Elephas maximus indicus: one gene and its partners. The protein of the gene in region 4 interacts with the protein of the main gene of each other region in a pairwise test. Links are inferred from orthologs where the notes say so. Each region holds a gene or a part of one and is shown on either strand. Other genes may lie near its edges. The genes, in order: CRK, PSMD9, C3H1orf216 and PSMC6.

Region 1 (6,968 bases), on a different chromosome or scaffold from region 4:
TAGCTATTAATTTCATTTTACTTGAATCCACAATCAAAGCCCATGGAAGCAGCAGTCAAAAAATCCAATAACCTATTATTGCATTGGGCAAATCTGTTGCAAAAAACCTCCTTCAAGTGTTAAAAGGAAAAGATCTCACTTTGAGGACTAAGGTGTGCCTGATCCAAGCCATGGTATTTTCAATTGCCTCACAGGGTTTTTGGGGCATATGCATGCAAAACCTCTGAATATGGAAGACTGAAGAACTGATGCCTTTGAACAGTGGTGTTGGCAAAGAACCCTGAATATACCATGGACTGCCAGAAGAACAATCTGTCTTGGAAGAAGTACAGCCAGAATGCTCCTTAGAAGGGAGGATGCAAAGACTTTGTCTCACGTACTGTGGACATGTTATCGGGAGGGACTAGTCCCTAGAGAAGGACATCATGCTTGGTACAGAAGAGAGTCAATGAAAAAGAGAAAGCCCCTCAACGAGATGGATTGACACAGTGGCTGCAATAATGGGCTCAAACAGCAATGAGTATAAGGATGGTACAAGACCAGGCAGTGTTTCATTCTGTCGTACATAGGTTCACTATGAGTCAGAATCGGCTCAAAAGCACCTAACAACAACATTAATTTTGTATATGCCTCTCTAAAACTCAAGAAATTCTTCTGTATGGTTTCAAAAGAAATACAGCTCAATGGAGAGGAGGACAACAGAGATGAAGTAATCTTTATAAAGACAGCAACTGAATCAATTACCCTGCATAGAATATGGAGTGCATTGCAGAAACAGGCATTACCACAATGCCCATGAACTTTCCACACCCCATCCACAAACTCTGGCAATCTTCACCTTCTCTCCTGGGCCAAGGATCTAAACTCTTATCTGTTTTGAAAAGGTGGAGCTCCATACCAAGGTAAGCATTGGGAAATAAAACCATAATGCCAAGGTATGGAGAAATTTCAAACTAAAAAAGCAACCTGCTGCCATTTCCAAATTTTGTAACCAACAAAACGTACACACAAACAAAATGTTAAGAACTGAACTTCAATGAGTTTGCCTCCACGTTACTGTATGTGATACCAAACCTTAGATACCATGCAGGCAGCATCAAAGCAGAATACACCTAAAAGCAAAACCAAAACCGTTGCCATCAGGTGGATTCTGACTCATAGCGACCCTGTAAGGCAGTAATGCTGCCCCTAGGGCTTCCAATCTAGTTTAGGGCAAATGATGGTACATCAATACTCGCATCTCATGCTTAATTATATTAAATCAATTAGACTGAGAAAGATCTAGGAAAATTTATGGACTTAAAGACCTCATACTCATTTTCTAACTTGCTATGTGTTAATAACAAAGAGATTGCCTATCCTGTCTCCCCCTTTCTGGCCAGACTGTCAGTCTAAATTAGGCCTATTGTAAAAGAGCCGGCCTGCAAAGGCTGGCTCTGGAACCTCCTAATTCATATAAGACTGGCCTGGATCTAATCTCAGTTGGTCAGGAGGATAACTACTTCAACTTGGGAACAGTGAGAAGGCATCAGGACTCTTGGTCCTCTTACACAGATAATGCTAACCGCAGAATTACTCTGTACCTCACAACTCTCAAATACTAAATGCATAAATTCCATTAACACTCCTCAAACAACTTCAATGACATGACTAAATCTCAGTGATCATTGGTAAGGAAGACCAGTGTAGTTAAACACTCAGAAAATCTGATCCAGCCAGGTTTGTTCCCAATTTCCATGAAGACTCAGGCTACAGCCCCAACTTACTGAGCAAGAAGGGGCCCTGAAGTACAAGACTAACAATGTTTAAGCTCAAGGAAAAATGAAATCCATTCACTTTTAGGGAAGAGGTTGTTTCCATTGGCTTATTTCTGGTTTATTTTCTGAAAAACTCTTTCTCCCCTATGCATTGCTTGCAGAGAAGGACAGTCTTTTGGCCACTAAGATTTCTTGGATACAGTCAGCCAAGCATTAACTTGTTCTGGGCTGGTCTCAGAGGGCTTTCTTCAATCACCAAGGCACTTAGCTAATCACCTTCGTCCTCCACAGGAGAAGAGGACGGTAAAAGACTTTTGGAAAAATGCCCAAGAAAGGAAAAAGCTGACCGGTTTCCTGAGGGTGTCTCCATCCCTCTTGACCGGTATGGGGTGACTTCCTACCAAAGGCCACCAGGGGAGTATGGCCAAACCTGGCTCTCCAACACAGCAGGAAGTGTTTCTAGCCTAAAAGCCACTTGTAGGATTATCGAATTCATTCTGGGTACCGCTGCCAAGTGATGCCCCCGCAGTGCCAACATCCCCCTCAGCTCTTTGTCCCCACGTTGTCCCGCCCTGCCCTTGCACACTGGCCCGGGCACTAGCCCCACCCTGGGGCCGAAGCAGTTCCCCTTCCCCTGGGCCGTCCTCCCAAGTCACACCCAGAGGCCTCGGTCAGCCGCTCCTCCTCCCCCACACACTCCCGCTCTCCGTTGAGAACTAGCTCCAGCAGTAGGCTGCCCACTGCCCCTGTCGCTTCAGCCCTCTGTCCACGACCCTCGTGGGGGCCAGCTCACGAGAAGCAGCCGGCCAGGCTGGAGAGTTCCGCGGCCCTCACCCCCGCCCGGGGCCTCCCGTCCCGTGTGTCCCTCACCGGGCGGAGGCTGGGCGGGCGACGGCGGCACCGGGGGGCGCGGGCCGCTGCTGTTGATGATGTAGTGGGAGACGCGCGAGTTCTCGGAGACGCTCAGTACATAGTCCCCGGGGCTGGTGCTCGAGTCCCGCACCAGGAACACCCCGTGCCGCTGGCCCTGCAACAGCGCCACCGCCTCCTGCCGGCTCAACCGCCCCCAGTACCAACTACTCCGCTCCTCCGAGTCGAAGTTGCCTGCCATGGCCGCCTCCGCGCCTACACGCTGGGCCGCGGCCGCCGCGCGCGCACCCCTCCAGCCCCGGCGCCCGCCGCCGAGCGGACCGGCTCCGGTCTCAGTCTCACAGCAGCGCCCGAAATGGCGGCGGCGGCCGCGGGCCTTCCCCACCGGAAATGACGCGCTCCCAGCCTCAGAGAGGCTGCCGGGAAGGGGCCCGCCGGCCGCCATTGGGAGAAGGGCAAGAGAGACCTCTCGCACGCATTGCGCATGCATTGCGCATGCGGCCTCATGGGCGTCGCCGCCGGGCTCGGACCCGAACTGCAGAAGATGGAGAGGTGGAGTCTAGGGCCGAAGGGGCGGGGCCCCAGCCAGCGGTCCCCAGAGGTTTGTTTTTGTGCTGTTGGCTACGCGGTTCTTCGCTCCATTAGGCTTCAAGTTACTGGATGGCCCAGGACTTCTAGGCAGTGACTCCGAAACAGAATTGGGGTTATAAAAGGTGGATGTGATAAACCAGAGACTACACCAGCCGGAGACCGGAAGAGCTAGATGGTGCCCGGCTACAACCGATGACTACTCTGACAGGGACCACAACAGAGAACCCCTGAGGGAGCAGAAGAGCAGTGGGATGCAGATCCCAAATTTTCATAAAAAGACCAGACTTAATGGTCTGACTGAGACTAGAAGGACCTTCTGTTGCCCCAGGACAGGAACCATTCCCCAAGCCAATTCTTCAGACATGGATTGGACTGGACAATGGGTTGGAGAGGGATGCTGGTGAGGAGTGAGCTTCTTGGATCAGGTGGACACTTGAGACTGTTGGCATCTCCTGTCTGAAGGGGAGATGAGAGGGTAAGAGGAGGGTAGAAGCCGACAAAATGGACATGAAAAAGAGAGAGTGGAGGGAGAGAGCGGGCTGTCTCATTAGGGGGAGAGCACTTGGGAGTATGTTAAAAAAAAAAAAAAAAACGTTGCCATCGAATCGATTCCGACTCATAGGAGTATGTAGCAAGGTGTATATAAGCTTTTGTGTGAGAGACTGACTTGATTTGTAAACTTTCACTTAAAGCACAATAAAAATTAAAAACAAAAAAAGGTAGATGTGAGCCCACGACCTGAGCTCTCAGCAAGGTTCCCTGAGACGTCGGGCCTTTTCTGCTGGCTAAGTTCTTGTTTTCATTGATTCATTTAGCGAACAGCACACTTGCCAGGTGGGTGCAAAGGTGACCGAGGCTGAGCCCAACCCTCACCGAATTCGCAGACCAGTGGGAGGAGCCAGGAAAGAATGACAATGGAGTGCCAAATGCTAGGATGGGGAACAAGCCTGGGGCTCTAGGAACACAGAACAGGCTCCCTAATTCAGTTTGGGGAGGGAGGCTTGAGCAGAATGTTGAATGGCAAGTGGGGAAGGGCACTGAAGTCAAAGGGAACAGAGTGTGGTGTGGCAAGCCAGGCAGAAGTATGGTGTTCTCACTATTGAGGCTTTCAAGTTATCGGCCCAGATTCCTCTAACCCTAAATTGTGCCCGTGTGTGTCTTCCCCTCTCACCGCCACTGTCAGGATCACTTCGCTTCTGTATTACTGTTAAGAGCCTCCTTGCTGGTAGGCTTCAGTCTTTGTGCTCTTAATTGCCCCCCACACTGCTGCCAAGGGTGACCTTTCTAAAACGTCCGTCTGAGTCTTGCTACTCCGCGTGAAACCTTTAACAGTCTTCAAATGTTAAAACTGCCAGCTTCACTCACAGCATAAAGCTGGGCCACAGCCTCATCTTAACTGCTCCTGTGTGAACCCCCTGTCCCAGTAATGCCCTTTCACCCCTTATGGAACCTCAAACTCAAACGTCTCCCCTTTTCTGATCAACCCATCACTCCCTCTCTGCCCTGACAGCTTTGTGTCCATATTGTCTCCTTACAGCTTTTGTACCATCGTACTGTAATTTTTCACTTACAGCTCTGTCTGTACCCCATGCTAGAGCTTCTCAAAGGCCCAGCATCTAGTTAGGAGACACTCCTAAACATTTCATAATAACCCACCAAAATCCAAACCTGTTGCCGTAGAGTTGATTCCAACTCATAGTGACCATATAGGACAGAGTAGAACTGCCCCGTAGGGTTTCCAAGGCTGTAATCTTTACAGAAGCAGACTGCTACATCTTCCTCCTGTGGGGCAGATGGTGGTTCAAACCGCCGAACTTTTTTGGTTAGCAGCTGAGCACTTAACCACCATGCCATCAGGGCTCCTTTTTCCTAATAACAGCTAAACGTTTATTCAAGGCTTACTACCTACCAGGCATGGTACTAAATGACTTTAAATGGATCATGACATTTAATACTTGCAGCCACTTTATAGGTAGGTATTGTACAACTAGCCTCATTTTACAGATGAGAAGACTAAAACTCAGAGAGGTTAAGTGACTTGTTCAAAGTCACACAGCTGCTGAGTGAGGAGCTGGGATTCAAATTGGAGGACAACCAGAGCTATTGATCACTCTGCTATATCCTCAGACCTCTGGGATAGGAAACTGGGTGGGGGCCTGGGGAGGGGGGCAAATCTGTATTTTGAAAAAATCAGTCAGCCCTGGGTTATGGCTCATGTGAATAACACAGCTCTTCCAGGTCCACGTCACACACCCCTGGGCCCACTCTGGGTAGCATGGGGAGGGGACACCTTCCCAGCTGTGTGTGACTCACTGTAACCCCGGCTTAGTCACACTTCGTCACCATGTGCCAGCAGCAGAAGCCACTCGAGCCTGATTCTGACCCTTTGAGAAGAAGCACCTGCTCTTCATTTCTACAAGAATGCTGGCACTGAGGGACAGGCCCTGACTCAGAGACTGCCTATGAGAGTCTGAAGCCATGCCTCCCCCACCCGCAGGGCACATGGAAATGACTTAAATATTTTTTAAAAAGGAAAGAAATCATAAATGAGCTGGAAAACAAACAAAGGGGGGGTAGGCAAGAAGGAGAGATCCAGCCCAGGAAGCCACTCAAGTGGGTCCTTCCTGGGAGGGCAGAGGGCAGGAATGTAGGAACAGGAGTGGCCTTGGGGGAAAACAAAGTCATTAGTGAAAGAAGTGAGCAAGCCACCCTGCCCCCTCCCTCCTTTCTCCTCTCCTCCTCCTCCTCTCCCCTTCATAATTAAAGATTTACAGCTATATTTAGGTTTTTGCCTCCTGATAAGCTTTGAGACTTGTCCTACAAAGAAAGAGACCTCCTTGCTTAGGAAAGGCTCTGTGTGTGGGGCCTGGGGAGGTGAGGCAAGGAGTTACCTGAAGGAGATATACAGGGGGAAAGAAAGGGAAGGCTGCCCAGTCCAAGAGGAAAAGACACCAAAGTCCTCCACTCCACGCTCTACCCCCTAAACCTCCTTATTTTAGCAATGGAGGTACAGCAGGGGTCAACAGCCTGCTTGCCTGCCTGCTCTGTGTCCCCTAAAGTGACCATAGCTGGGCAGGTTGTGTGCAATGCACAACTCCAAGATACTGTGTACATGAAGCTTCTGTAGTTGGGTTACTAATATTCACTTTCCTTTTTTTTTAAAAAAAAAAAAAAAGCAGAACAAGTTTATTTGTATCAAGATGACAAAAATTGCTATTTAAAGCAAAAAACAACAGTATCACCTTTCAAAGTGCATGCTTGTCTGTGATGTCCCTCCCACTCCCACCCCTACCACCAACCCCACCCCACATGGGTAGGCCTTAGTTCTGCAGAGACAAGCAGCAGTCTTAAAGCGTGGAAAGGTAGGGCCTGGAGACAGACACTGGGGGAAAGCTCTGGGGAGAAATGTGAGGGAACTCAAGGAGGGTCTTGGGGAAGAGAGGGGGCTGGGAACACAGGCGGGAGGCTGGATCTTCCAGAAATATCAGCAAGATGTTCCCAGTGGCAACATGACCGCAAGACTTTTGAGAATGAAGATGCAAAATACTCAATTTTGAGCTGTTTGCTTCACTGCAATATAAAGCCCTCTCACTGCCCTCCATTCTTTACGAAATTCTGCTGCTCACACAAATGCCTTCCTCATCTCTACATTCATGGAGCTGAGATAGTCAAGAACACTTGAAGGAGGAGAGACGTCAGTGTGCCTGGTCTTCACTTCCCATCCTCTCCCCATGCTCACTCCTCTCAGGC
Region 2 (7,297 bases), on a different chromosome or scaffold from region 4:
AGAATCTTTGATCAAAATGTTCAGTGACGGCAGCCAGGCACCACCCAGTGACAAAGGGGGCTTTTCACTTTCTTGATTTCATCCTTCGAAGCACAAGTTTTTAACTTTAATGAGTCCAATTTATCCTTTTTTTTTTCTTTCTTTTTTTGGTTTGATTTTGTACTTTGGGTGTCATATCTAAGAAGGCTCTGCCTAACTCAAGATCAGGAAGATTTACCCCCCTATTTTATTTTAAGAGATTTATAGTTTTAGCTCTCTACTTCTTTTCCAACAAATAGAGAGGAAAGGTTCAAGATGAAAGCCTTCAGGAAGCAAAGGAGCTAGCTGGAGGCAATTACCACTTTCTGTCGCCTTGCTCGGCATTTTTACCTTATATATAAGGGAAGAGATTCTGGTTTTCCAGATGCTGCAGAAATATAAAGTTTCCTTTTAAAATACATTTCTTTAAAGAAAAAGAAGATTTTCTTAAATTTAAGAAATGTAAAGAAAATGTCAGTTTTAAAAAAAAAAAATCAAGAGACTAACAGCAAGGAAGCATACAGATTTCAGCATCTGGTAGAAAAGTAACTGACTTTGGAGAAATTGCTGGCATGAGCTTGAAAGCACAGGTTCTGGACTAAACAGCCCTGAAGTCTGAACGCCACTTTGTGACTCTGAACAAGTGACTTCCCATTTTGAAGCTTCAGGAGAACACACCAACTTCCATGGGCAGTTGTGAGGGTTTCACGATTTAATGCACACGAAAAGCAGCACTGTTCAGGCATACAGTTAACACCAGTAAAATAGTACCCTGCCTCCACGTGACACTTCAGCTTACTTCCACCACCTAAAATGCACCCCATTTTGTCCTATATAAGATGTATTTGATTTACTTGACCCCTGCAAATTGACTTGTGGTTTGGTTTTACAGTGGGTGGCATAGGAAAAACTGCTTTGAAGCCAGACAGGCCTGGGAACAAGCCCCACCCTGCCACTTCCAAGCTGCACGATCCTGGGCAAAGGTGTGCCCCACTTGCAACCTGTTTCCTCCGTAGCAATAAGCCCCCTTTATCAGGTGAGTACCAAAACCCACTGTCATGGATTTGGACTCACAGTGACCCTATAGACAGAGTAGAACTGCCCCAAAGGGTTTCCAAGGCTATGATCTTTACAAAAGCGGGCTGGCACACCTTCCTCCTGCAGAGCGGCTGGTGGGTTTGAACCATAGACCTTTAGTTAGCAGCCATGCTGCTTAACCAGCACGCCACCAGTACTACTCAGGTGAGTACAGAACATGGCGCAGTGGTTAAGCATTTGGCTGCTAACAAAAAAGTCAGCAGTTCGAATCCACCAGCCACTCCTTGGAAACTCTATGAGACAGTTCTATTCTGCCCTGTAGGGTCACTATGACTCAGAATCAACTCGGAGGCCAACAGGCTTTTTCCTACTCAAAGTGCAGTCCTTAGACCTGCAGCAGCAGCATCCCCTTGGACTTTGATAGAAACGGAGTGTCTGGCCACACAACCCTGTACTTCGGAACCTGCATTTTGACAAGACCTCCGTTAATGCTCATTAAAGTTAGAAACACCAATGTAAGATAGTTAACAAAGCACACCACCCTGGTAAACGTTCAACAAGGACTGATGGTGGTGGTGACCACCACCCTCTCCACAACTTATTAGTTCTGTGACCTCAGGCAAGTTTAAATTAAAGAATGCCTCAGTTCCCTCATTCCTATAATGGGAGAAATAGTACCCACCTCAAACGACACTATTATTTCACTTATTAACAAAGATCAAAGACCACAGCCTTCAGTACGGATTACACCTCAACATAAAAAAAAATAAATAAATATTTTTTTTTCCAACATAAGGAAAACAAAAATCCTGACAACTGGACCAATAAGCCACATCATGATAAACGGAGAAAAGGCTGAAGTTGTCAAGGATTTCATCTTACTTGGATCCACAATTAATGCCCATGAAAGCAGCAGTCAAGAAATCAAACAACGTATTGCATTGGGCAAATCTGCTGTAAAACACCTCTTTAAAGTGCTAAAAAGCAAAGATGTCGGTTTGAAAACTAAGGTGCCCTGACCCAAGCCATGGTATTTTCAATTGCCTGATATTCATGTGAAAGCTGGAAGATGCCTTCGAGGTACGGTGTTGGCGAAGAATACTGAATACACCATGGACTGCCAGAAAAATGAACACATCTGTCTCGGAAGAAATACAGCCAGAATGTTGCTTAGAAGTGAAGACGGCCAGCCTTTATCTCACATACTTCGGACACGCTATCAGGAGGAACTAGTCCCTGGAGAAGTACATCATGTTTGATAAAGCAGAGGGTCAGTAAAGGAGAGGACGACCCTTAACAAAGATGGACTGACACCGCAGCTGCAACGATAAGCTGAAACGTTAATGATTGTGAGGATGGCGCAGGACAGGCGGTGTTTCCTTCTGTTGTACTTAGGGTCGCTATGAGCGGGGACCCACTCGACAGCATCTAACAGTAATAACCTCAAAGGCCTGGTGGGAGCCTTAAATGGCCTAACAGATGTAAAGCACTGAAGACAGCGCCTGGCACTCAGTAAGGGCTCCACACGCGCTTGCCATCCTGTCAACGTTGTTATTATTGTTAACGTTATCTGTCGGTGCTGCCTGCTGCCGACAGAGGCCGCAGTTGCAGCGCCTTGGGCCTCCCAGGAAGGGCGAGCTCCAGGGCTAAGAGCCAGGGCCGAGGCCGCCCCGGCTTGCGGGTGGCAGCCAGGAGGCCTCGGGGCGCCCCCACGCCCGGCCGGGAGCCGGGGCCCACACTCACGCTCTCCAGCACTTCATAATTGGCCTTGATCTGCGCCTCGATCTCGTCCTTGCGCCGCATTAGCTCCTGGATGTCGCTGATTGTCACCGCGCCGGCCCGCGGGGCGCCTTCGCTCTCGCCACGGTCCTTCCCCGACATCTTGGAGCTTGGTCCAGGGCTCTGGACACCCCGCTCCCTGGATACGGACGCCTGAGGAGACTGTGGCTACGGCTCCCCCTGCGGGCCAAAACACCCCAACTGTCTAAGCGCGCGAGCCTAAGGGCGTGGCTTCGGTGGTGGGGCGGGGTCACAGAAAGCCACACCCTGGTGGAACACGTGGTTCTGTGGCACCCGGGCGTGGAGCCGCCTGGAATTCCCGGTCCCCGCCCTACCGAAGCCGGGGGACTTCTGAAGCATTTATTGAGCACCTACTGCATGTATGTGCCAGAGCACTGTGCAAGGCGCTGCAATTCAGACCTTCACATCTGTACAGCCCTTGACGAATATAACAAAAGTTCACTTCTTTATCCCCCATTTTCCAATAGATCTGACAAATCTAGGTTCAGATCCTGGTTCTTGCTACTTCTGGCAATCTATGGGACACTAGGTAAATCACCTCATTTGTCTGAGCCTCAGTTTCTTCATCTGTAAAATGGTGCGATATTGATAGCAATCTATCTCAGAGTTGTCAGTCAGCCAACAATACTCTTTAGATGCCTCCTATGCGCCCTGCACTGGAGGGATGAAAAAGTAATGAAAAAGAACGTGCAGCATGGGGCACAGCGCATATTAGGTCTTTATACACCTTGGAGGAAACCCTGGTGGCATAATGGTTAAGAACTATGCTAACCAAACGATCCGCAGTTCAAATTCACCAGGAGCTTCTTGGAAACTCTATGGGGCAGTTCAGTTCTACTCTGTCCTACAGGGTCGCTATGAGTCAGAATCAACTCAACAGCAAGGGCACAGGATACACTTTGGAAGGAGCCCTGGTGGTGCAATGGTTAAGCGCTCAGCTGCTAACCAAAAGGTCAAACCCACTAGTTGCTCTGTGAGAGAAAAGACCTGGTGATCTGTTCCCGTAAACATTACAGCATATAGGAAACCTATGAAGGCAGTTCTACTGTGTCACATGAGTGGCTATGAGTCGAACATGATTTTCTGACTGTTAGTCAAAAATCAACTCCACACACCTACTAATACACCAACATACAGTTTGGTAAAAATAGCAGTGATGATAATATTAATAATTTATTTACTGAATGCTTGCAAAGAGCCAGGCACTATTCTAAGTGCCTTATATGTATTCAACAAGCTCATGAAACCAGTATTATTATTACTCATTTGAAGACAAGAAAACTGACTCACTAACCAACTTGCCCAACTTGTGAAATGTGAAGCCAAAATCCCAACCCAGCTTAACCAAATGAACAAATTTAACATCTTGACGTGTGCTGTGTAACAGTTTGCACCGAAAGGACAGGACATCACCTGTAGTATTCATGCCAAACGTGCTTACTCTGAATCTAATCATAGGAAAACAAATGGACAAAGCCAAATTGAGGGACATTCTGCAAAACAACTGGCCTGAACTCTTAAAAAAAGGTCAATGTTGTGAAATCACACATACACACACACACACACACACGGAAGCTCGAAATTGCCTGGATTGAAGGACACTAAAGAGATGAAACAACCAAATGCAATACGTGATCCTTGATTGGATTCTGGTTTCCTACCTTTCCCCCTACCAACCGTAAAAGATTATTGGGATAACTAGAGAAACTATGAATATGGGTATATGTAGTATCAATGTTAAGTTTCTTAATTTTGATACTTGCACTGTGATCATGTAAGAGAATGACCTTAGAAAATACACTCCGATTATTTAGGGGCGGAAGGGGCAATTTATTTTCAAATGTTTTCAAAAGAAAATGTGAATTGTATTTGCAAAGAAAGTATGATAAATAAGGGAAAATGTAAAGGGCTGGCGACTCTGGGTAAAATACATACAAACATTCTTTGTACTATTTTTGCAACTTTTCTGTAAGTTTGAAATTATTTCAGAATCAAACAATCATCTCTTACAGAAAAAAAGTAGAACCAATCACATTAACCAAAAACAAAACAAACCTATTGCTATCTAGTCGATTCTGACTCATAGAATGCTATAGGACAGAGTAGACCCACCCCATAGGATTTCCAAGGAGAGGCTACATCTCCCAACCTTTTGGTTAGCAGCTGTAGCTCTTAACCACTGTACCACTAGGGCTCCATCAATTACATTAGGCCTCCTACATTTTGTTCAACTGATTGCTTTTAAATACATTAACATTTCTTACATTGACAACGAAAGGAGAGAGGTAAGACAACTAAATGCAATGCATGATCCTTGATTGGATAGATTTTTAAGAAGCAACAGCTTTGAAAGACATTATTGGGACAACTGGTGAAATCTGAATATGAACTCATTTTATCTAGATCATGCCATTGTTAGGCACCCTCGAGTTGGTTCAACACAGAGAACAAAACACTGGCCAGTCCTGCACCATCGTCATAATCCTTGCTATGCTTGAGCCTATTATTGCAGCTACTGTGTCAATCCATCTTGTCCAAGGTCTTCCTCTTTTTTGCTGACCTTCTACCTTACCAGAAACCCTGGTGGTATAGTGGTTAAGTGCTATGGCTGCTAAACAAAGGGTCAGCTGTTCGAATCTGCCAGGCGCTCCTTGTAAACTGTATGGGGCAGTTCTACTCTGTCCTATAGGGTTGCTATGAGTTGGAATCGACTTGACGGCACTGGGTTTGGGTTTGGTTTTGTTTTCTACCTTACCAAGCATGATGTCCTTCCCCAGGGACTGCTCCTTCCTGATAACACGTCCAAAGTACGTGAGATGTAGTCTTGCCATCCTCGCTTCCAAGGAGCACTCTGGCTGTACTTCTTCCAGCACAGACTTCGTCGTTCTTCTGGCAGTCCATGGTATATTCAATATGCTTCACCAACACCACAATTCAAATGCATCAATTTTTCGGTCTTCTTTATTCATACTCCAGCTTTCACATGCATATGAGGCAATTGAAAATATCATGGCTTGGGTTAGGCGCACCTTAGTCTTCAAAGTGACATCTTTGCTTTTCAATACTTTAAAGAGGTCTTTTGCAGCACATTTGCCCAATGCAATGCGTCGTTTGATTTCTTGGTTGCTGCTTCCATGCAAGCTCAAGTTGAAACTGAAGAAAATCAGAGCAAGTCCACGAGAGCCAAAATATGACCTTGAATATATCCCACCTGAATTTAGAGACCATCTCAAGAATAGATTTGACACATTGAACACTAATGACCAAAGGCCAGACAAGTCATGGAATGACATCAAGGACATCATACATGAAAAAAGTAAGAGGTCATTGAAAAGACAGGAAAGAAAGAAAAGACCAAGATGGATGTCAGAGGAGACTCTGAAACTTGCTCTTGAACCTCAAGCAGCTAAAGCAAAAGGAAGAAATGATGAAGTAAAAGAACTGAACAGAAGATTTCAAAGGGCAGCTCAAGAAGACAAAGTAAAGTATCATAATGACATGTGCAAAGAGCTAGAGATAGAACACCAAAAGGGAAGAACACCTTCGGCATTGCTCAAGATGAAAGAACTAAAGAAAAAATTCATCTCGAATTGCAATAGCGAAGGATTCTATGGGGAAAATAATAACTGACGTAAGAAGCATCAAAAGAAGGTGGAAGGAATACACAGTCGTTATACCAAAAAGAATTAGTCAATGTTCAACCATTATAGGAGGTAGCATATGATCAGGAACCGATGGTACTGAAGGAAGAAGTCCAAGCTGCTCTGAAGGCATTGGCGAAAAACAAGGCTCCAGGAATTGATGGAATATCAGTTGAGATGTTTCAACAAACAGATACAGCGCTGGAAGTGCTCACTCGTCTATCCCAAGAAATTTGGAAGACAGCTACCTGGCCAACCAACTAGTAGAGATCTATATTTATGCCTATTCCCAAAAAAGGTGATCCAACCAAATGGAAAAATTATCAAACAATATCACTAATATCACATGCAAGGAAAATTTTGCTGAAGATCATTCGAAAGTGGCTGCAGCAGTATATTGACAAGGAACTGCCAGAAATTCAGGCCGGGTTCAGAAGAGGACGTGGAACCAGGGATACCATTGGTGATGTCAGATGGATCTTACCAGAAGTATGTTTACCTGTGTTTTGTTGACTATGCAAAGGCATTCGACTGTGTGGATCATAACAAATTATGGATAACATTGTGAAGAACGGGAATTCCAGAACACTTAATTGTGCTCATGAGGAACCTGTACATAGACCAAGAGGCAGTTGTTCAGACAGAACAAGGGGACACTGAGTGGTTTAAAGTCTGTAAAGGTGTGTGCAAAGGTTGTATCCTTTCACCGTACCTATTCAATCTGTATGCTGAGCAAATAATCCAAGAAGCTGGAGTACACGAAGAAGAACAGGGCATCACGATTGGAGGAAGACTCATTA
Region 3 (7,762 bases), on a different chromosome or scaffold from region 4:
TTGGAGTTGCTGTCTGGTTGGAGTTCGGGCTGACATATCCCAGGAGGTGGGTCCCCCAGGAACTGGCCCCCCTCAGCTAGCCCTGGCTGGATGGCAAACATCTGGTCTGTAAGGGGGAAGCAGAAGAATGAGTCACGGAAAGACAGAGTGGGGTGCCTGAAGTCACACCAACCTAGCTGCTGGGGTGAGGTAGTAAGCATGAGCCTGGCTGCTCCTTCTCAGTCCGTTTCCCTTTGTGGTTTTCCCCCACCCTCTCTGACTGTTCTCAGTCTCCTGCATAGACTTTCCTCTACCCATCCCTTAAACACTGGTGTCCTCAGCCCTCTGAGACAGGTGTCCTTCTATTCTCATTTTTATGCAGTCTCCCCTGATGACCTCATCCTCTACTGTAGCTTCAAGAACCATCCATACGTTGGTGACTCCCAAATCTGTCTCCACCTCAGATCCAACTGCCATCCGATCCTGCAACCTAGACATCCCCCAGGCTCCTCAAATTCTGTGTGTCCAAACCAGCTCTCCCTCTTCAGTGGCCTCAGCAAACGGCTCCACTAGCCATTCAATAACCCCAGCCAGAATACTGGGAACATCCTAGACATCTCACTCTTCTTCCTACCCCCTTCTAATCGGCCACCAAATTCTGTAGATTGTTCCTCTTAAAACTTTGTGTGTGTTTATGTACATGTATCTGCTCTCACTTTCACTTGATCCAGGTTACCTCTTACCCACAACTTCTTACTGCCACGGCCCTTTTACTGGTCTCTCTGCCTGTAGTTAAAAATGTAAATTTGATTTTTTACAGCTCTACGTGCTGTCACTAAACTCCTGCTAAACTGCTATATGGCCTACACAAGTCTGCTTGATCCAGCCCCTACTCACCCTTCCACACTTGCCTCTTGCCACTCTGCCCCTCACATCCCATTAAACTGTTCAGAAATCTCAAAACACACCATTACTCTCCTTGGCTTCTGATACCCTTCCTCTTTCCTTCCCTCTAAGCCCCTCCTTTTCCACTTCAAAGCTCAGCTCTAATATCCCCACCTGTCTGAAGCCTCCTTGATAATTCTCCCCTACTCCTCCCAATACACAAAAACATGCACACATTTAACTATGCCTTCCTCTGGGTCCCCATTGCCCTGGGTATACACTGTCTTATCCATGTTTGTTTCCTGTCACTGGCACATGGCTGATGGTCAGTAAATCTCTATTCAACTTTTTTTTTTTTTTACCTATGTTGTAAATAACCCATTGCCATCAAGTCGATTCCACTTCATAGTGACCCTATAGGTCAGAGTAGAACTGCCTTGTAGGATTTCCAAGGAGCAGCTGGTGGATTTGAACTGCCAGCCTTTTGTTTAGCAGCTGAGCTCTTAACTATTGCTCAACAATACCCAGTGCCGTGGAGTCGATTCTGACTCATAGCAACCCTATAGAACAGAGTAGAACTGCCTCATAGAGTTTCCAAGGAGCACCTGGCGGATTCGAACTGCCGACCCTTTGGTTAGCAGCCGTAGCACTTAACCACTATGCCACCAGGGTTTCCAAACAATAATACCTTGTAAATCTTGCTCCTGGACTACAGTGGGAGCTCCTCGATAGACTCTGCATTGTATCACCAGCTGGTGCAAACAGTCAATGCACTTAGCTGTTACTTGAAAGAAAGGTTGGAGGTTGAAGTCCACCCAGAGGCACCTTGGAAGAGAGGTCTGGTGCTCTACTTCCAAAAAAAAAAAAAAAAAACAGCCATTGAAAATGCTGTGGAGCACAGTTCTACTCTGACACACATGGGGTTGCCATAGTTAGAATCAATTAGATGGCAACTGGCAGCTGGTTACACGTCCAGGCCTCAGTGCAGAGCCTGGCATTTAGCAGGTGTCAGTATGTACTCCCTGAGTGAGTGAGCTGGGGAGAGGGAGCTGCAGCGGGATTCCCAGGTGCAGGTAACAGGAGGTTAACACTGACTGCTAAGTGCGGGATGAGCTGTGTCCATTTCCCTCCTCTGCCCCAGGGAGCCCACTCCTTGACAAGCTCTCCTCTGAGAGCCCCCTTCCCTCCCAGTGCCCCTGGAATATGTCTATTATCATGAGTCCCGACGCCTGGCTTGCTCCATCCCAAGGCCCAGGAGGGCAAGCAGGGCACACCACTCTTTCCTCTCCAATAACTGGTTTCTACCAAAATTAGGGTTTGAATTGAAAAGAGGTTCCTGTTGACCACACATTACTGGGATTAGAAAAACTGAGGATCAGTAGGAGTGAGGGATACTGTATGTGGCACAGGCACTAGGAGGATCTCTAAAGGTGGCAGGAACCCTCCCCACATCCAGCTGAGACAGAAGTCCTGGAAGGAACGGTGTAGGGATAGTTCCTTTGTCACCTGCACTCCCTACCCCACCCCCAATCCCTCTAGGCAAAGCTTATGAAAGGTGCATGGAGATCTTCCCTCCTTCAAACTTTTCCTAGGCCTGGGTGGGGCCCTGGTGGCACAGTGGTTAAGAGCTCAGGCTGCTAACCAAAAGGTCAGCCGTTCAAACCCACCAGCCGCTGCTTGGAAACCCTATGGGGCAGTTCTACTCTGTCCTATAGGAGTCTGTCCTTTGAGTCGGAATCAACTGGACCGCAACGGGTTTGGTTTTTTGGTTTAGGCCTGGGATGGGCCCTGAAGGAAGATGGGGTGGGGATAATCACGGGTTCTCAGAGATGGCAAAATTAGTAGCTCAGACACCCCAGGATCAAGCCTCTCCCCAAGCTAATTCGCAATCTACCCTGGAGGAGGACTCCCTTCCTGCCGAGCCTTGCGTTAGAGGGAGGCTACTCCCAGGAGACAGGATAGCGACCCTCCTTCCCTAATCTCCCCAAAGGAGGCAGCTGGGCCGAGGCTGCGACGCCCCCTCTCCCCGAGGCTGAGCCCACCTCTCTCCCCGGGCCCCGACTCACGGCCCAGAGGCGCGGCCCTGCGCGGCTGGTTCCGGCTCCGCTCCGGACCCCCGGCGGGAAGTCGGCGACTTGGGCTGGGGATCCCTCGGCCTGGGCGTCCACGCTGGCCGGGACGTGGGCTGCGGGGTCCGTGGCGGCACGCCCAGCCCCAGGCCCTCGCTACAGTGTCTGCGGCGTCAGCGCGGCGGGGCGGGGCGGGGCGGTGGCCCACGTGAGCCGGTTCGGTTTTCCGTGGAGCTGCGCGCTGGGGCCGCCGGAACCGCCTTCCCCCGCCTTGGGCTGGTTTTACTGAGGATTTCCACGTCCAATTTTATCGTCTAACGGCACTGGGCCCCTCCGATTGCTTCACCTCACTGCAGACAGTGATATTTTCAAAATGAAAATCTGATCATGTTACTGCTACTCCTGCCTAAAACTGTTCAATGGCTTCCCATTGCAGGGGAAACCTTAGGGCGGCTGCCGCAGGGCTCTCTGTGCGTCCTGCGCTCTGTCTGCCTGGACAGCTTCATTTTTTGCCCTCCATCTCTACAGTGGGGCCCCTGGCTTCTTTCTGCCCCTCGGCTTTTGCACACTGTTCCTTCTGCCTTAAATTCTCTTTCTTCTTTGATCTGCTCACATTTTAGAGCTCTTCTCAGGGAATCCTTCTCTGACCCCCTAGATCAGTTAGTTCCCCTTTTTATATCCTCTCTGGTCACTGTATTCCTTTTCTTCATAGCAGTTGTCACAATTTGAAATTATGTATCCTGTGATTATTAAAATCATTAAAGAAAGATTTAAGAGAAGAAAAAAAATCCACTCTGGGGCAGAACTTGGGACTAAGGCCCTGCAACCAAGCCCAGATAGATGGCTTCCCCTCCGAAGTAGGGGAATTACCTCCAAAAAAAAAAAAAATTTTTTTTTTTTTTTTACTCTTGGGCTCCTGTACTTTTGCCCAGGTGAAGAGGTAGAATAGGGTATCCAGTACAGGTTTCCGAACCCCAGTGGATTCTTCTCCAAGTCTCATCTTCATGAAGCCTGATTCCCCTCACTCCCTTCCTCCTTGGCGAAAATGTATAGGGTATTTGTTACTGTTGTTGTTAGGTGCTGTCCAGTTGGTTCTGACTCATAGCAACCCTATGCACAACAGAATGAAACATTGCCGGGTCCTGCGCCATCCTCACAATTGTTACTGTGCCTGAGCCCATTGTTGCAGCCACTGTGTCAATCCATCTTGATGGCCTTCCTGTTTTTCACTGACCCTCTACTTTACCAAGCATGATGTCCTTCTCTGAGGACTGATCCCTCCTGAAAACATGTCCAAAGTATGTGAGACGCAGTCTCGCCATCCCTGCTTCCAAAGAGCATTCTGGTTGCACTTCCTCTAAGAGAGATTTGTTTGTTCAAAAAGGGTATGGGGACCCTGTTTCCAACCAAAGGGTAGTTGCTAGAAAAGGATATCATATTTGTTCAGTGAAAATGAGAGAAACCCTCGGTGAGATGGATTGACGCAACAGCCACAACAATGGACTCAAACATACCAACGATCATGAAGATGGCACAGGATAAGGCAATGTCTCATAGGTCACCATGAGTTGGAGCCCAGTGGATGACAACTAACAACAACAATGATAAAACCAAAAAGCATTGGCTGGTGTTAAGGAAGTTGTTGTGCCATCAAGTCATCAATTGCAACTTATAGCGACCCTATAGGACAAGGTAGAACTGCCCCATACAGTTTCCTAGGCTGTAGTACTTACGGGAGGAGCCCTGGTGGTGCTACCATAAATATTTATAGCTTTAGAAACCCTATGAGGCAGTTCTACTCTGTCCTATAGGGTCACTATAAGTTGGAATCGACGTGATGGCAACAGGTTATGATTAATTCTTATTCATTCTTCCAGAGGGAATGGAAGAGGAAAAAATTATGACAAATCCTATTTTAAGAGGGACAAGGAAAAGGCAGAGGTAACTCAATCTTTGGATACTCTCCCAGCTAAGAAAGTACAGATGGAGAGCACAGCCCCTTTTCTACATCAGGTCCTGAGGTCTAACTAAATCAGTTGCCATAGGGTCCAGTTCTCGTAGTGACGCCATGTAGAACTATGCTCCATAGGGTTTTCAATGGCTGATTTTTTGGAAGTACATCACCAGGCCTTTCTTCTGAGGTGCCTCTGGGTGGGCTCAAACCTCTAACCTTTTGTGTAGCAGCAAAGTGCATTAACCGTTTTCACCACCCAGGGACTCTGAAGCTTAACTAGTCTTCCCTTTCCATTATTCACTCCAAGTTCTCCTTGCCTTTAGCCAGGGTTTTCTTCTTTATGAGGTGACCCAGATTCTAACTCCTGAGGGCCCTGAGCCTTTTGTGGTCTACGGTTGTTCTGGTCTTCCCTTACCACAGAGGGATAGTGATCATTGAATTGTTGGGCCTGCCCAGAACAGCTGCCTCCTACCTTTTCTTCTGGCTCTCCCTGCTCCAACCACACGAGTTAAATGGGTTAGTGATGAGCTAAGAGTCCAGGGATAGGAACCTCAGTGCAGGTGAGCCAGTCTGAGTCTTTCTCTGGGACGTTTTGAAATGAAATTAAAACAGGGAAGATGTGAGCCTAAGGCTGCAGCAATCATATTCCCTGCGGAGTGGAAGAAGTCAATCTGTAGTAGGAGAAAATGATTCTGACACAGAAGCAGAGATAAAAGAAAAAAGTCTTGGTGACATTCTAGGCCTGGTTTCCTGAGGCCTACCAAGTAGTTTTGTATACCTTCCAATAAATCCCTTCTTTTGCCAAGGCTAACCTGAGTGGGATTTCCATCACTGGCAACCAAAAGAATCCTGGTTAATGCAATAGCACAAGGTGGAAACCCAGGGGTCCCGTGAGTTCCACTCCTGCACCTCTCGGCCCTCATTTAGTAGTAGCGACTCCATTCCCCCTTGACAGCCATAATCTGCCCAGCCTACACTGTGATCCCCTTCTCTTCTATTTATCTAATATTATGAGGTACCTGAAAGGCAGTGGTATCATTTCTGTGTTCCCTGGTGGAAACATTCCCCCTAGATGCTAAACCTCGCTATAAGGAGAACCTAGAATCTCAGAGACAGGAAGCAAACTCTTTGAGTCAGTAGGTGCATTAGTGGGCATAGCATGCCACCCCCACTTACACTTCTTGGTATGTATGGTAGCTATGAGAGAAGAGCTATCGTATATTTGATTGTTGAGTTAAAGCCTGTATTGTACTTTGCCAAGTAGCACCCCAAACTCACCGGGTATTTTTTCCTGGCTGTCACCAAGCTGAATCATCAATTGGTCATTCCCTTGTTATAAAGCAAGATGCTTCTAAATAACCATATATGTGTTGAGACAAATGAACTTCAAGGGCATCAGACTGTGGTCTCTCTTCTTAGTCAAGGGCAACATTGTGTGGAATGCTCTAGCACTTCATAATTCATGTGTTAAGTGCTCAGACAGGGGTCCTCGCTATGCCATGATTTTCAGAGAAGTAGGAGCCAGGAGAACAAAAAGCCCTGGGAAGGTAGGGACATCCATGTCTGCACAGCCACAGAAAAGCAGATTTACAGATGTCTGTCATTCATTCACAATAGGCTTTCCCAGTCATGATGCCAGGGAATCAATCACCCCAAGTGAAGGGGTGTCTGTAGCCCTGTCCACCTACCCACATACATGCCAGGGACTTAACTGGCAGGGACACAGAAATCACCAGTGGTGGCCAGTGCCAGCAAGCCAGCTCATCCTGAAAATCCAGCAGTGGGTGGTGGGTAGGTGTCTTGGCAAGCAGACAGATACTAGAATCAAGAAGGCTAGCAGTGAGTAGCCAGATCCAGCCCCAGGGGCCAGGGGTGTCAGGCAAGGAAACAAGGGAAGATGACAGGAATTTCTATTCCAGGCAGTAAGACAGGCATAAAGTGGATACTTTCTCAATGCCAATACTTTCAGGAAGAATGGGATGGGAAGGATCAAGGTGATTCAGCCTCAGAGAGCTTTCCCCTTTCCATCCACTTGTTCACATTCAGCACACAGTTACAGAGTACTTACATTGTGCCAGGTATTGAACCTGGTCATGGCCACGGAGAGCTCCCAGTTTAGAAAGGGAAATGGACACAGAAAAAAGTGGGCTACACAATGTGATGGGTCCTGCAACAGAGGTAGAAGACAAATGTAACGAACACAAAGGAAGGCAAGGAAAGGCTTCTTGGAGGTGATATTTGAAGAGTAGAAGCTCAGCAAGAGACAGTGGGAGAAGGCAGAGGAGACTGCATATTAGAGTGTGTTCAGGGAATGTTGAGTGGCCAGTGTGCCTGGAGCTTGGGGGAAAATGGAGGTGGGAAGCTAGGCTGGAGGCTAAAGTCGGCCCGGTTGTGAAAAGTCTTGACTACCATTCCAAGCAGCTTGGGCTTCACTCATCCTGTGGGCAGTAAGGAGATAACTGAGGAAGCCTCCCAAAAATTCCACACCACAACAAAGCATACACATCTAGTCCTGGAGTACAAACAACATTATTGCTACGTGGTTTTTTCTCTTTTCCTGATCCCATATCATCAGCCCAACTTCCTACAAGGCTCTGGGAACTTAGGCAAGTAATTTTAGCCTTTATGGGTTAAATAAACATGATAATAATAATGTTATCATCACTGTGTTGTGGGGAGGCTAAAGCAAGACACTGTGTGCACATACCTTGAAGATTATTACTTTATAGCTGTGAACATTGTAACTCGGGCTCCCATAACCAGGTGGTCTTAGAGGGCTCCTGACACACCAGAGAGCTCTTAAGGCAGATTAGAAGGAAAATCATTCCCCGGAATTGGTTCATTTCAAGAAAGGAAGGCTTAGGAAGCTGATGAC
Region 4 (7,869 bases):
ATAGTGATAGGATTTACAACACACAGGGAAATCACATCAGATGGCAAAATGGTAGACAATCATACAAACTGGGAATCATGACGTAGCCAAGTTGACAGATACTTTTGGCGGACACAATTCAATCCACGACAGAAGGTGAAGATAGAAGTTAGGAGATATGCTTCTCCAACTTAGATGACTCTAAGGACCTTGAGAGAAAAGTCCAGCCATGTACATGTACACACTTATACACAATAAATATTAATTAGATAAACAGATCTAATCAACTATGTTGTGTCCCCCAAAAGTATCTGTCAGCTTGTCTAGGTCATGATTCCCAGTATTGTACGATTGTCTACCATTTTGCCATCTGATGTGATTTCCCTACGCGTTGTAAACCCTATACCTTCAGGCTTTTATTTAGCCATTCTTCCTTTTGTATCTGAATATTCCTTTTTTCTTTGCTAAATTTTTTCCTTTGAATTATTTTACTCCAGTCTACTCACTACCAGAAAGTATTTAGGTACTAAGAAACTTCCCACAGAAATCTCCATGTCTCATTTTGAGAAACTGAGCTCAAGCCATTTCCTGCTTTCGTCATTAAAAAAAAAAAAAAAAAGCTGTTATTTGCACAGTAATCAGAATTCCATCAAGAAATGCTGTGTACATTAAAACTAAGTTATGTTATTGTTATAATCACTAGTGTTAGGATAACAAGGTTCTGTTCTTGTTCATCTCTAAAAAATTTAATGTTGTTCAGGATGCGATTTAAAAACTCAAAGGTTGAACTATGTACCCTGTGGGCGTTCATTAAATAGCTATTGAATGACTAATCAGTTATTTCATGAGACCTAACACAGGTGAGATGATTGCCAGAGTGCGAAGAGTTGAACTTGTAGACTCACACAAAGACCGACTTGAAGTATTTTCAGGGAAACGTCAGTAAGATTCACACCACATGGATAGAACTATTTTACATTTCTAAAATCTCTTAAAAATATGAATGGAAAACTATAATTATCAAGACAATAAAGTAAAAAAAATATCTTATATGGAGCTTGTTTCCAATGATAAGTTTCTAGAAATTTTTTCTGGGCAAGAGTTGAGTCTTATGGAATACTTTAAGTTGCCCGAGGTTACGACCTGTTGCATCAGGGTGAAATCTTGATTTGATTAATGTTCAGACTGCTTCCTTTTTTCCTTCTTAGGCTTCATTCACCTAGTCTTTTTTCTTCTCGTGTCTCTCATTTTTTACTCTCTAATCTTCAGATATTAGTATGATGACCACGGGGAGGATATTCATTTCCACAAACACATGCAAAGACAGGCTCCGTGTTAGGATCTCTGGAAGTCATAGGTATGCTTGAGATATATCCTGCTTATAAGGAGTTTAAGGAGTTTACAATTCAGTGGTAGAAAATGCCATAAAAGATTACATGCTAAGTTCTATGAGGTGTCCCTCCTGGAACAGGGACTGGGCCTTATACATCTTTCTCTCTCCAGTGTCAAGCTCAGTCTGGCATAAGGTAAGTTTATTGAATTGAAATTCATTTAGAGGCTGGAACTGGGTGAAGAGGAAACCAGGAAGACCTCTTGGAGGAGAGAACATGTGATCTGGGTCTGGATTTGTATACGAAAAAAAAAACAAACAGCTGTATAAAAAGGGCTTTACAGGTAATTACAGAAATTGTATTAACATGTACATGCAGTATATGTGGCAGTCTGCTTCGGTAGAGATTTATAGCCTAGGAAACCCTATGAGGTTGCTATGAGTAGGAATTGACTCAACGCAGTGGGTTTAGTTTTGGGTGTGGCATGTTGTAGATGTTAGAACCAGAGCTTCTCAGGTCCACCATGGCTAGTGACTTTTTACTTCATATTGGTTTGCTTGGCAGTGGTGGACAGAGCATAGGTTGTAATAGTACGATATATGAGTTTGAATCTCACCTCTACCATGTTGTACCATTTTGCTGTTAGCTGTGGAATTGGTCCAACTCATGGAGAGTCCCGTGCACAACTGAATCAAATGTTGCTCAATCCTCAGCCATTTCCATGGTCAGTTGTAGATGCTGATTGGACCATTGTAATCCATAGTTTTCACTTCCTGATTTTCTGAAATAGTTCGTTAGGCCTTTCTTCCTAGTTCCTCTTATTCTGGAAGGTCCCCTGAAACCTGTTCAGCATCATAGCAACACGCAAAACGGCAAGCCTCCATGGAAGGGTGGTGGCTGCGCAAGAGGTTCATTGAGCCTGGGTCTCCCGCATGGAAGGCAAGAATTCTTCCACTTAATCACCTATTCCCTGGCATGGCCATGTGATTTTGAATAACATGTAAGCTTTCTGTGCCCATTTTCTCAGCTAGAAAACAGGAGCATACCTATTTGGGGCCTAGCATATCTTAAGCTACTTCATTAAAAGATGGTTAAAAAAAAAATCTATACACTTAAAAAAAATATTTGAACCTTTAATGTGCAAGAAATTAGAAAGCTTTCCAATTTCACCTTGAAATTTCCTTAAAAAAAAAAAAATGTTTATAGACTAAATCCACGGCTGAATGTTAAAAGACCATGACTGGGAATCAGAGGACCTGGCTTTACCACTACCCAGCTCCTAGTCCATGCTCACATTACCTCATCTCTCTGGTCCTGTTCCGTCCTCCAAAATGAGAGGGTGGTCTCCATCCGGACTGTCCAAATACGGTAGTCACTAGCCGCCTGTGGCTATGAAGTGTGCCTAGTCTGTATAATATATAAGCACTGGATTTCAAAGACAAAAATAAAATATTTTATGAATAATTTTAATGTTGATTATACTTGGAAACAATATTTTCACCTGTGGGTTAAATAAAATATATTAAAATTAATTTTACCTGCTTCTTTTTTGATGTGGCTACTAGAAAATTTAAATTACACATGGGGCTCGCATTATACTTTTATTGGACAGCGCTTTAAGCCAGGGACACGATGGACACGTAATTTGTACGGCTTGAGTTCCTTGCAATGAAATATCGAAGGATTGGCCAGGAGAGAGCAGGGGTGGGGCGCGGCCCTGCAGGGAAAACACAGGCCTCTCGGACTTTCGCTCTGCTGGGGAAGCTGGGAGGACCCTCGACTCTCGCCCCGGGGCTCGGGGCGGCCAAGCCGCGTCAAGTCTCCAGGCCAGGGGCGTCGAGGGGCTGGGGCGGGCGTCAAAGTGCCGGGGAGGAGGCGCGGCCGGCCGGGCGGAGCCGAACAGGGAAGCGGGTTGGTGCGTCAACCTCACGCGCCGGGGAGGAAGCCGGTCCTAGGCCGAAGGCGGCCGGCGCGGGCGCCGCCGCACGTCCTCGGGCTCTGCCGGAGGTGGCGGCCGCTGAGAGGAGGGAGAGCCGAGGGCGGGCCTGGGAGGCGGCCCGGAGGTGGGGCTCTGCCGGGGCCGGCCCGCGCGGGCTTATCTGAGGGCGCAGGGCCTGCGGCCGAGTGCTGGAGACTCCGAGCGTGGGGCGACGAGCGGTCGGAGCGGGTATGGGCCGCCGCTGGGGTTTCCTGATCGGCTTCCTGGGCGCCGTGTGCCTGCTCGGCTCGGGCCACAGCGGGCAGGAGCCCCCGGAGACAGCGGCGCAGAGGTGCTTCTGCCAGGTGAGGGTTCTGCGCGTCCCTACCAGTCCCGCGTCCCCCGACTCTGTCGTGCGCTCCGCCGCGCGCGCCCCGGCAGGTGAACGGATGGGAGTGCGGTCTTGCAGTTCTTCCCGCCTGGACAGAGACCCGTTTGCTTCTTCTGCTCCTTGACTGAGGCTGAGTCCTCTGCAGGTCGCCTTCGCATCAGGGGCGGGGAGAGGAGTGTAGTGCACGCTGTGTGTTTTTTACCGACTTGGCTTATGCCTCTTTGTTGATCGGTCCTGCCGGGGAGGATGTGCGCGCACAACACCAGTATTCTTGTTATTTTCACAGAACTCAGGTCTTCCTAACTTCTAACTTGACCTGGGACTTGTGTGCGCTGTACCTGAGCTGGGTGCCTTCCTTTCTGGCCAGTACACGCTTTTGTAGGGGAGTTGCTCTCAGAATTCGTTGTCAGGCAGGAGAATGGCTACGCCTGACTTTTCTGTGTCTAAACCGAACTGCTTGGTTTCTTAGGTGCTGCGGTTGCCCTGTAGCTCCTCGCCGTGTGTGTGGTTTCTTTTTCCTGAATGTAATGTCATTTAACCTTGAAACCCATTTAACTGGCTTGAAATAAGAAGATGGTCCTCCTCCTCAACCCACAAATTTAGTTACAAGCTTATTAGGGTCATTTTCTTCTATAGTGAAAGATGGAAACCCTGGTGACGTAGTGGTTAAGAGCTAGGGCTGCTAACCCAAAGGTCGATAGTTCAAATCCACCAGGTGCTCCTTGGAAACCCTATGGGGGCAGTTCTACTCTGTCATATAGGGTCACTATTAGTCAGAATCGACTCGACGGCAATGGGCTTGGTTTACACGTTTTTGAGCAAAAAATTTGAAGAAATGTACAGGTTTCTGGTATTTACAGTAATAGTATTTCAGTATCATTACTCTTGTTAAAGCCACTTTTTGGTTGGCTTCTGCTGATAAAAATTAAATTTCATATGAAACTGAGGGATGGGTATCCAAATTATTCCTTTTAAGTGTATTTTCTTGTTAACTTATTGTTAGAAATAACATATTATGTGTGTGGGGGCGTGATGCTATTTTATAATGGAAAAAAGTGCTTCAAATAGAGAAAAAGATGTCTCCTTCAAATTTTTGGATTTTGTCGTTTTGTGGAGTGATTTGGGAGTTGAGGTCAGTGTTAACTAGGAATGTGTGAGGGAAGTTGAGGGTAAATTCCAGCTTTACAACCAGAGGTTTCAAAGCTCCTGTGTATTCAGTGATAGCAAACAGTACACAGACAAGTACTTAAAAGGTCCCTTTTCTCTGATCACAAATATAATGTAATACAAAGTTTAAACATTTAAAAAATAAGTAACCTTAAAATTAGGTATTCAGTGCTGAAAGAAGATGTTTAATGTAACATTTCAACTAAATTCTAGAGATTTGGGTAATGGAATAAAAGTACAAGTTGAGTCCTTCAACTTTCCCTCCACCCCCCCAATTTTTTTTTAGATGTCTAATTAAAATTGGGTCATTTTACTTTTTTACGTTTATTTTCTGATCAGTGATTAGGCCTCTCTCCACCACAATTTCTTCAGATTTAAATAGTCTCCCAAAACAAAAGCCTATTTATTAGGCCCTTTTCCTGTCCTTCTAGAAGAAGTCTTGCTATCTGTTTTTTTTTTTTTTTCAGGGTCAGTTTACAAGATAATAAATTGAGGATAACATAATTAAAAAAATTTTTTTGAGAGAAATTTAAAACCATCTACTTGAAAAAAAACTTAAGAACAAAAACCAAACTTAACCAAAACTTAAGAACAGAGACCATAAATTTTAATTCAGTAAATGAAACAAAGAAAAATGTATTTCAGTTTTTTGATGGCCAGTAGTAAAAGGAGTGAGGGTGAGGGGACAAGAGGGAAAAGGAGGAGGATGTGTAGACATGAAGAGAAAATAGAGACAAGCATATAAACATGGATATAGAGAGAGAGGGGGGAAGGAGGAGAAATGAAGATAATAGAGATGAGTGGCGTAAGTTATTCATTCAACAAGCGTTTATAAACGTTATGTACATTGACCTGAGTGCTTTTGATGCAGAAATGACTACGGCATGATCCCTGCCCTGAAGAGTTCAGTTTAGTGAATAATGTTCATTTTTGGGCAGGGTAGGAGGCATCCTAAACACTTTAAAAAGTACATATTGCTAGAAAACTAAATTAAGAACTAAACTTTCACCTAAGGTTTGGAAATTATTCTTTAAATTTAGTTGCTTATTATTATGTATTATTTTTATTATGTATATGTGTTAGTTGGCTACTTCTGTTTAACGTCAAGTCCTACCAAAACCAATTTTACCGTATGTTGTAAATTCTTTTTATTATCAGTGCTTTAGTATTAGTTGCTAAGTGATCAATTTTCTGGGACTTGTAAATCTTCCTTATATATGATCCCCTGTTTTTGAAAAAATGCCATTTAATTTTTAAAAATTAAAAAAAATTGTTACACAGCAATATTGACTTCTTTTTTCCTTTTGGCATACGAGTCTATGAAGTTTAACACATGCATAGGTTTGTGTAATCACCTCATAATCAGGGTCAGCCCTTTCTTTAAACCAAAATAGTATTTGTAGTATTTGTTGTAATGAGGTTGGACTTAAAGTAAGTGAAAGACCCTCAGAGCTACTTATTGCTGTTATAGCTGCTATTGAGTTGGCGCAACTCCCAGTGACCCAGTGCACAATGGAACAAAACACTGCCTGGTCCTGTGCCATCTCCACGATCGGTTGCAGATCTGACCATCGTGATCCATAGGGGTTTCTTCGTTATGTATCACTAGAGAGAATGAAATGTAACAGATTTTAGTCACATTCATGAAATTCCAGAATGCATCTTAAAGAAATAACCTCAGAAGAAATATTGAAGCCCAGATATGGAGGCAATATGGACTTTTTTTTTTCATTTAAATTAATTAGAACCAAGTTTGTAAACTCGTATGTACTCAGTATTAATGTGGCTACTGCGTAACTGCACAGTCAGAGCCATTTAATTGAGTGTAGTAGCTTTCCTTCAGGCTAATGAAAGTTAACCCAATAATAATAATGAAATATTGTATTTTTATATATAATTAAATATAATCTTTCAATAATGAAAGATAATCCAAAACGACTACTCTCAAGCACATGGGATGCATTTTGGAATGCATGATAGTCTACATACATGTATTATGTCAGATTTACCTGTCAAGTGTCATGTTTAAAAAAAAAAAACAACCAACCAAACCCAGTTCCGTCAAGTCGAGTCTGACTTATAGCGACCCTATAGGACAAAGTAGAACTGCCCCATAGAGTTTAGGTCAATTTGAAAAATGGTTTATATTTGTTAACTGAAGTGGCCTTGTCATGGGAGAGACATCATTGGTAATATATTCAGTGGTTGGTGGAAATAAGCCCAGGATTAAAATCTAGTCAGAGGGATCTTTGACACAGGTTATACTGGAGACCTGTACACTGAGACCATTATCTCTGAATGCCGGCTGTAATCCAGGCTTTTTTGAACAAAGTGATTGGAAGAAATACTTTTGTATTGGTTGCCATACTTTGGGTGATTTGAGAACATTTTAAAATTCTAGCAAGGCCAAAAGTTTAAAGCAGAAATAGCTTTAAGTGTTCCATGTCCTTAGAATGGTGCTTACAGCCTTATAGAATCTTTGATTGGTGTTCCCAGGCTTCCATTAACAGAGTTGTCTCAGTGTACTCTGTCAGCAAGTGGATAATTTTTATGTTTTTTTTTTTTTTAATAGCCACAAAGTACAATAAAATTAAATACACCTTGAATTGTGTTCTCCCCCCTCCCCATATATGTTATAAAACCTAACATCTATGCCTGTGGTTATAATCCCATTTGGGAATGGGTTGTCTTTGTTACGCTTCAGATTCTTCTTCTCAAGTTTTGTGTGTATGTGTGTTTGTTTCTTTTCGTCTAAATGTCTCTGCTTGGCAACTGTCCCTTTGGCCTTTGCAGTCTCTAAGTCTGTTATTCTTTGTATAGTAATTTGTATCAAAGGGGAGAAATAGTAACTAATGTATGTCCTTAGGAGTTCTGGCTTTTAAGGCTCAAAATGAAGGTGTAAACAATCTCTTTAGATGTGAAAAATCAAAAAATTTTTTTCTTTTTTTTAGTGTGTGTGTGTGTTTTAGGTGAAAACTTACAGTGCAAATTATTTTCTCATTCAAAAATTTGTACACAAATTGTTTTGTGACATTGATTGCACACTTTTGTATTGTTGGTATCCAAAATTAAGACTCTAAGTT

Evidence for each region.
Region 1: the proteins of PSMC6 (region 4) and CRK interact in binary tests that used the Homo sapiens proteins (3 or more experiments, as listed by UniProt). The two-hybrid records come from large-scale screens. The link is inferred for Elephas maximus indicus from reciprocal best matches to the Homo sapiens genes PSMC6 and CRK.
Region 2: the proteins of PSMC6 (region 4) and PSMD9 interact in binary tests that used the Homo sapiens proteins (3 or more experiments, as listed by UniProt). The two-hybrid records come from large-scale screens. The link is inferred for Elephas maximus indicus from reciprocal best matches to the Homo sapiens genes PSMC6 and PSMD9.
Region 3: the proteins of PSMC6 (region 4) and C3H1orf216 interact in binary tests that used the Homo sapiens proteins (3 or more experiments, as listed by UniProt). The two-hybrid records come from large-scale screens. The link is inferred for Elephas maximus indicus from reciprocal best matches to the Homo sapiens genes PSMC6 and C1orf216.

What each region holds. Positions count from the first base shown.
Region 1 is NC_064837.1:20,224,120-20,231,087, reverse strand, and holds the start of CRK (adapter molecule crk), read right to left. Parts: upstream 3,005-6,968; 5' UTR 2,869-3,004; coding exon 2,628-2,868; intron 1-2,627. UniProt on the Homo sapiens protein: Involved in cell branching and adhesion mediated by BCAR1-CRK-RAPGEF1 signaling and activation of RAP1.
Region 2 is NC_064840.1:8,176,988-8,184,284, forward strand, and holds the start of PSMD9 (26S proteasome non-ATPase regulatory subunit 9), read right to left. Parts: upstream 3,016-7,297; 5' UTR 2,938-3,015; coding exon 2,800-2,937; intron 1-2,799. UniProt on the Homo sapiens protein: Acts as a chaperone during the assembly of the 26S proteasome, specifically of the base subcomplex of the PA700/19S regulatory complex (RC).
Region 3 is NC_064821.1:77,046,245-77,054,006, forward strand, and holds the start of C3H1orf216 (UPF0500 protein C1orf216 homolog), read right to left. Parts: upstream 3,015-7,762; 5' UTR 2,931-3,014; exon of another isoform or gene 2,907-2,930; intron 107-2,906; 5' UTR 102-106; coding exon 1-101.
Region 4 is NC_064828.1:64,960,084-64,967,952, reverse strand, and holds the start of PSMC6 (26S proteasome regulatory subunit 10B), read right to left. Parts: upstream 3,021-7,869; 5' UTR 2,849-3,020; intron 2,736-2,848; 5' UTR 2,610-2,735; intron 1-2,609. Other genes in the region: ERO1A (ERO1-like protein alpha), read left to right, coding at 3,480-3,593. UniProt on the Homo sapiens protein: Component of the 26S proteasome, a multiprotein complex involved in the ATP-dependent degradation of ubiquitinated proteins.